Linked DNA regions of Daphnia pulex. The protein of the gene in region 1 purifies or fractionates together with the protein of each later gene. This does not show direct contact. Links are inferred from orthologs where the notes say so. Each region holds a gene or a part of one and is shown in the gene's direction. Other genes may lie near its edges.

Region 1 (4,035 bases):
TAATTTGCTTGAATATAGGAGGAATTTTGTCGGGAACGACTTCATTGCAAGGATCCCCTATAAAGAAACATCATCCATCGCAAGATTTCATTCATTCACCGATTCCAACTCCTTCGAACAGTAAAAATGTTTAACCGTTGCCAACATTTTGCATTTGATTTATGACGCGTTCGATCTTTGTAGATGCGACACCTGTGTTGGAGGCAGCGGCGAATGTTTTGAAAGAAACGACAGCAACGGAAGAAGTGGCTCCCCAAGTAACAGAAGAACCAGCAGCGATGTTGCAAACGACAGACACACCTACGCCAAAAAAGAGCCAGGCTCTAGGGGCGTTGGCTATCCTTGATCCGGCAAACTTCACGTTGGACGGCGGCCAAACAAATAGACACCGCGTTACAAAAGAAAGTTTTAAAAACGCCTCTCAGCTCGGTTCAATGTCTGATCCTTCTGATCCGCTCAGCCAACTCGATCCTTTGTGGTCATTGGCTAAATAAGTTTTTCTGAGTCAAATTGAAGGCCATTATTATCGATACTACGCTGATGGCAAAAGATAGCGAATTATTTCTTGCCTCTTTCTTCTTCTTCATTATTATTTAGTAATCTGATCAAATAGCTTCCCATGGCGACATATTAGTTTGTTAGCATCGTCTGAAGATTTAACCCGTGGAAGAATGGCATATTTTGCATTCCGCTAAGTTTTTTGGAATTTTATGATTGATGTACCGAATACACGTTCAACATTAAGTGCCGCTAAAATTTGACTTTTAAGTGGTTTTGAGAAATGCACAGTTATTTGCAAATTGAATGTGTTTTAGCAATGGCTTGCTTCACGTTGGCGGGGCAATGAGAAAAATGGTATGCAGCTGCTGACTATTGCATCACAAAGGGAGCTTTATCGTTGTTGGACTTGAGCAAGCGCATCTTGAGCCTGAGGAAATTTTGCTGTCTTATTAGAAAGCGCGCACAATTCCATATGTCTTGTGTGTAGATTAGCTAGTCAAGGACGCGCGCGTATACAACAGAAACGCCTCGCCATGCAAACAACAAAAAAAGGAAAGGGGTAACCCTCGATCTCTTTGTATCGATGCAGCCCCAAAAACCAAAAGACCTGATGAAAAAACCGAAGAATAGTCATCACCATCTACCAACTACGGCAATTTTTACCGTTGAATTTGGGTAATCGATTGTCCTCGTGTGTTTATACAAAAAGGATGCTGTTTAGTTTCAAATGAGCTGGCATCGTCTGCTAGCTTTCGAAAATTCTCATTTCTCATGTGTGCTCAGTCAGTTTAGTAGGGGATTCTTGGTATATTTATGTGCCTATTGAGGTACATTTATTTATGATCGCATGAGATTACAGAGCTTTTTGGTGTTGTAATCATCATTCGAAAAGAAAGAATGGCCGAAGAAAATTCCACCGATGAATTAATAGAAGAGAAGGCTGAAGAGTTGGACGGCGAGGAAGAATTATTGGCTCGGCACCGGAAGGAAAAAAAAGATATTCAAGGTTCTTTGGACTTTCAAAATTGCATATTCTCGGAGAATATTTGTTTATTTATATTTTTTTGCTTATTGATATTTATTCAAACAGCAAAGATTCAAGCTTTGAAGAAGACAGCAACGAAAGGAGACAAAAAGAAAAAGAAGGACGTGGCTGAGGAGATTGCCAAGCTAGAAACTGAAATAGAGACTAAACATGCTGCAGAATTGAAGAAATTTCAGGTTGTGCAGCCCATTGATATGATAAATATGTTTGTGTCATGTTTTGAATTAATTTTTTAAAAGGAATCCACAGCTGAAACCAAGAAAATCTCTGAGCAACTAGAAGATGTAAACTTGGCAGCCAAGGGTGAAGGAAAAGTCACAAAGGCTCAAAGAAGAAGAGACAAAAAACAGGACCAAGCCAAAGAAAGGGTGCAGTTGATTGAAGAACAGGAGAAAGCTAATCTTTTGGGAGTCAGGCACACTGAAACCCAGAAAATCAAAGCAATACTGGCCAAGCAAAATCTGACTTTCTTTGAAATACCATCTGATGGCAACTGGTACTTTCTACATAATTCATTTTCGTACAAGACGTAATATATTTCATTGTTTCCCCAGCATGTTCGCGGCCATACTGCACCAAATTAACCGCGGAGGTGTCTCACAGTCTGTGCAGCAACTTCGCAATCTTGCGGCAGAATTTATGCGTTCAAACGTGGACGATTTCATGCCGTTCATGGACGAGGTGGAAAACGAAGAACAATACATGAAATACTGCGACGATCTCCAACGAACCGCCACGTGGGGTAGCCAGCTGGAGGTACATACAATACAATCTTCTTCATTCTTGACCGCTGTTGTTGCGCTCAGTGAAAATATGAATAACTATTGCTTAGCCTGTCGAGGGAGGGAGGGAAAATTTCGATTGATGATGGAGCCTCCTCTTTAGGAGATGCGCACAACCTTGGGGCCTTTCCGTTGACGATGAATGGATGAAAACTAATTTCCATTTGTGTATTTTTTTTTTCTCTCTTTTATCCATTGCCTCTGACCCCTTGCGGCAACAATAACAACACTTAACTGCAGTTGCGAGCTTTAAGTCAAGTTTTACGACGTCCCTTTGAAGTCGTGCAGGCTGAAGGTCGTCCTGTTATCATAGGCGAAGAATTCACGGATCCATCATCTACTCCGGTACTGCTCACTTACCATCGCCACATGTACGGCTTGGGAGAACATTACAACAGCGTCCAGCCTCGGCCAGCCGACGACGAGGACAATGACGGCGGCCAATAAACCAACATCCCGCCATCTCTCTCAGTAATCTCCCACCTTCACCCAAAAGTAAATGGTGAGCTTTATAATGGGAAAATTCCAACCTTTATTTCGCGAGATTACAAAAAGTGCAAACACACACACGTGAATATCTTGTGAGTGGCTCGGCAGTTTTCGTTTTTCTTTCTCTTTCTGGAAATTTTCCATCGTTAAAATAACCGTCTGTATGTATGACGAATGCCAGTGTACTTGGCAGCTCTAAACGGCTTGTTTTTGGGACCGAACCAGTCCACCAAACGTGCAATTTAGATTTAAAAGTTAAGAATATCTTTTAAGGCTGTTGCGGTTTATTAGTGTTATTCTTTTATTGAGTGGAGTCAACTCCTCCCCGAGTTGATGAGAGAATTCCGGTCACGATGCCGAAGGTGTTTATCCACTCTAGTCATCTACGAAAGCCATTAAGTCTCGAAAGAAAAAAAGACAAAGGGAAAATGCCGGGACAATGCCGCCCTCTCGTTCGCCCCCTCCGTCCGTCTAAAGTATCATCGTATAGTTTTTAGTAATAATCGGCAACGAGCTATAAATGCGAATGATATTCTGACCCCCCGTCAACAAGATGAGCCACAAATGGAGTCGTTCGCCCGTCGCGCACGAGCGATGAAATTTTCGCCACAGTCCTACTATAGTACCCATATAAAATGACTCGACTACTACCACCTATCGCTGACGGCTTTTCTTTTTTCTCGTTTTTACATTTTTATTGGACAGGACAACGGCGAAATGTCCTTGATCCATGCGCCATAAAGTTACACTGTATCATCATCAAAGAAGAGTCCTGATGAAGATTTTTTCTCTCTTTTCTCAAACAAGTTATTCAAGGACAACAGTTTTTTTCTTTTTATTCATTTCTCTTTTTCTTGCTGCCCCCTACACAGTTATTAACTGTTTTGGTCGTCGTCGTCGTCGTGTTTCCCCAGCAGTTTTGTATTGAAATTTTTGCGTATCACGTTCCGCGATTGTCTGAATTTTTCAGTTTCGTTTTCCAACGGGTAAAATTTATGTTATTTTTTTGTCTGACTAGTTACGGATTTCTCTCTTTTCGGCCCCGCAACTGATGAGTTGTCACTTTTGTTTCCATTTCAGAGTTATGAAATTGGCTGGAGAAGCAAAATTGATGATGTGATACATTCGTGCGCGTACGTGTAACGTATCCTTCTCTGCCCTTTGGGGGCGGACAGACAGGATGTTGTAAAGAAAGAAAAACTACACCGGGGAGGAAGG
Region 2 (3,446 bases), about 790 kb from region 1:
TTCATTTCTTCTGGATTTAGGGATCATGGTGGAATGTCACCAGATCATAGTAGTGTTAAATCAGAGCGCGAATTCTCAGAAAACGACAATGCTGCTCCTGGTGCTCAGGTATCCCAAAATGCAATTGAACTTCCTGTAGTGCGAAACATAGGACCAAGGGCAAGCGCGACAGCTCAACCAGTACCACCACCAGTTGTTAAACGACGAGAGGATGAAGCTTCTCGTCAAATGCAACATCATCAAGAGGAAGAATCGCCTGTCAAACGACGAAGAAGAGGAGCTGTTCTGGGTGCGTCCGATCAGAATTCATCCCGCAGAGGCAGAGGTCACGGTCGGAGTCCAAGAAGAACTGGTGAGTTAATTTTTATTTCATGAAATGAAGTAATAATTAAATTATTTATCATATTCCCGTTTTAAGGTTCCGATAGCGAGGATACAGTAACAGATTACGTTAATTCCTCGAGCATGGGATCAGGTTGTGTGAGCTTGTCCAATTATCAGCCTCGTTCGTCTCGATACAATTTCTGCACAGATCTCGGTAATTAACGTCTTTTCCTATTTAATTTTTCAAACTTAACGCGATGTGTAAAAATTGTTATTAATTTTTTTTTTATTTTACGTAGACCCAGAGTTGGACGCAACACAGCGCATCGCTTCTTTACAGGACAAACTTCGCGAATTAAGACAAACCTACAGTGCATTGAAGGCAAGGGTCATGCTAATCGACCGCCGTAGAAAGAAATTGAAGCGCAAAGAGAAGGAAGCCGCATCTTGATAACATGATGGATTAACAAAATATGCACAATAGGTTTTCTTAATTTTATTCGATTATGACAAGTGACTTTATAAAACAGTTTGTGTTATTTATTTCTAACTGACCGCCGTTGCGATGAATCATGCATTTCCCATTGTTTCTCATTTCATTGTTTGTATATGTGTGCGTGTATGGAATACTCTCTCAACATCCTCGTCGTGGATGCGTGATGACTAGAGCCTTGACAGTCGATACTTCGTGAAAAGATCCACTGGTGGTTGCAATTCAATCAGAATCCTGAAGAAAAAAAGCCCGTATTCCCACTATTGATAAATAGCCAGCTATTCTGGTTAATTTGTTATCTTATATTGGTGAACTGATGTTGGACCTGATTAGAATAACCCCATTGATGATTCATTTAGTTGCCATTTGTTTAAAAATGAGAGAAGCAAACTTTTCCCCTATTGTTAAGGTTCTTGACATGGTAACGTGAAAACTCGCATTTTAAATGATTGATTTCTAATTGTTTTTGCATCCCTTTTCTTTCATTCTCCATCTGTCTTTTTAAATTTCTGAAATGAAGACCTTTATGATTTCCCCACTTTACGCCCTAACCTCAGTTTTTCGTATGGTATTTCGGCCATTTCCTCCCTAATTTTAGAGAAAAAACATTGAGCAATTTCATTTCGGAGATGTTTTACAGCTTTGAAATGGAATAAAATACGATAATTATGTCTTTTGGCGATCGAATTTTGAAATACAATTTATTAGCGGATAGAAAAAAGCTGACTTTAAATCAAATCGCAACGCTGTAGAAGTAGTTGAAGTTTTGTTCATGCAAATTAGCAGCTGTTTGCTGGGGGGTAGTCGAGTCTTTATTTTTTTTGTTCTTGTTTCTTCATTCCTATTCGATTTACTTCTTCCATTGGAATTGGTGACAAAGTGCGTTACTTCTCACTTGGGAATTAACAATTCAAACATGGAAATGGTACCAGAAACGGGTATGTTAATACGGAAATACGTGACGAGTTTTCATTGATTCGTTAATGGCATGTTTTGTTATTTTTAAACCAAGAAATCCAAGATGAAGGCATTCTAAAGCAGCAAAGAGAGATTGAAAAAGAGGTTTGTTGACATTGCTGTGACCAAGAATTTTATAAATGTTAAATGATCTCTTAATATATTTTGGTCAACAATTGTGTTTTGCTACTCTCATGTCAATGTATTTTTATCTTTAAGTTATCTTATTTACAAATAATAGGTTGCAGAGATCCATCCCTTGGTTGGAAATAAACAACCACTGACATGTCTACTGAAAGAGTACATGGATGATCCAATATATACAAATAAGTTGACAAAATTGGCTGGTGTGTATCAGTCGATCAGAAGAGTGCGACCAGATGGAAACTGCTTTTTCAGAGGATTTGGATTTTCCTATTTTGAAAGACTTCTGGATAATGAAGAAGAATGGAAAACATTTCAGGCTATTGTGATGGGCACAAAGGATCAGCTGATATCACAAGGATTTCCTAAATTTACTCTAGAAGACTTCTTTGATTCGGTATGGATCCATAAGAATAAGAAAAATGAATTCCTTGTAATATTGTTTTTTTTTTTTTTTTTTTTTAGTTTATGGAAGTAGTTAACCGCCTTGGAGGTGAGGGGAAAATGGACGCAGAAGAATTAAGTCGAATTTTCAACGATGCCGGGGTAAGTATGAGCAAGAAAACGTTTCGATACTTTGACTTACGTGTGATATTTCTACAGACCAGTGATTATTTGGTTGTTTATCTCCGCCTTGTAACATCTGGACAATTACAAAAAGAGGAAGACTTCTACCAGAATTTCTTGGAGGGAGGCAAGAGTATGAGAGAATTTTGTCAGCAGGTACTACAATAAGTGGGAGAGAGAAGTTTTAAAATCTTTAACTTAATTGTACTCTTAATTTTCAGGAAGTGGAACCCATGTATCGCGAATCGGATCACATGCATGCCATAGCCCTAGGATCAGCTTTGAAAGTTGGTATTCGAGTTGTTTATTTAGATCGAGGTGAAATTACCACTAGTCCTCCAGAACATGATTTCCCAGAAGATTGCACTCCTTCCGTTTATCTGCTATATAGACCCGGCCATTACGATATTCTGTACAAGTAAAGACGAATAAAACCGAAGATATTTCCCTTTTTCAAGAAATGAATTGAGCAAGTTAAACGTTATTAATATACAATTGTATTCTGCATACGACGGCGCAGTGTTATACAAAAAAAAAATAAGCCATGCCAGTTGTTCTTATCTAGAAATGGGTTGAAAAAACGTATTTACAAAAACCAGATTGTTTCGGCGGACTTCCACCTTTCTTCCTTTAGAACGCTGCAACCTGTAACGAAACAAAACACTGCACGGCATTAATAATTTTTTCCGATTTACAAGGATCGACCAGGATTATAATGAAAGGAAACAGACCATTTTACGATACATTAATAACCTAACCCAATGGTGCAAGAACCTCGGTAGTTGATCATATATGGGGTGGTAGGCTCCATCAATGTGTAACAACACTGTGAATATTCATAGAAAATGCATAATACAAACAAACAAAAAACATACTGGCATAGCTAAATATGTGACACAGGGCACCTACATTTAAGAATGTTTGTAATTTGATAGGTTTCCATATCCTCAAACTTGTGCAG

The links.
Region 2: the proteins of deubiquitinase OTUD6B-like (region 1) and ubiquitin thioesterase otubain-like fractionate together in Homo sapiens (co-fractionation; 4 studies listed by BioGRID and IntAct, with this or other methods). This does not show direct contact. The link is inferred for Daphnia pulex from reciprocal best matches to the Homo sapiens genes OTUD6B and OTUB1.

Annotation. Positions count from the first base shown.
Region 1 is NC_060021.1:6,053,161-6,057,195, reverse strand, and holds the start of deubiquitinase OTUD6B-like, read left to right. Parts: upstream 1-1,235; 5' UTR 1,236-1,398; coding exon 1,399-1,507; intron 1,508-1,591; coding exon 1,592-1,722; intron 1,723-1,785; coding exon 1,786-2,042; intron 2,043-2,100; coding exon 2,101-2,302; intron 2,303-2,568; coding exon 2,569-2,775; 3' UTR 2,776-2,823; exon of another isoform or gene 2,824-2,893; intron 2,894-3,897; exon of another isoform or gene 3,898-4,035. Other genes in the region: tyrosine-protein phosphatase non-receptor type 23-like, read left to right, coding at 19-120, 184-494.
Region 2 is NC_060021.1:6,843,150-6,846,595, forward strand, and holds ubiquitin thioesterase otubain-like, read left to right. Parts: upstream 1-1,475; 5' UTR 1,476-1,589; coding exon 1,590-1,755; intron 1,756-1,829; coding exon 1,830-1,879; intron 1,880-2,015; coding exon 2,016-2,315; intron 2,316-2,383; coding exon 2,384-2,464; intron 2,465-2,521; coding exon 2,522-2,641; intron 2,642-2,706; coding exon 2,707-2,907; 3' UTR 2,908-2,946; downstream 2,947-3,446. Other genes in the region: AT-rich interactive domain-containing protein 4B-like, read left to right, coding at 21-352, 419-538, 624-775; uncharacterized protein LOC124194062, read right to left, coding at 3,433-3,446. UniProt on the Homo sapiens protein: Hydrolase that can specifically remove 'Lys-48'-linked conjugated ubiquitin from proteins and plays an important regulatory role at the level of protein turnover by preventing degradation.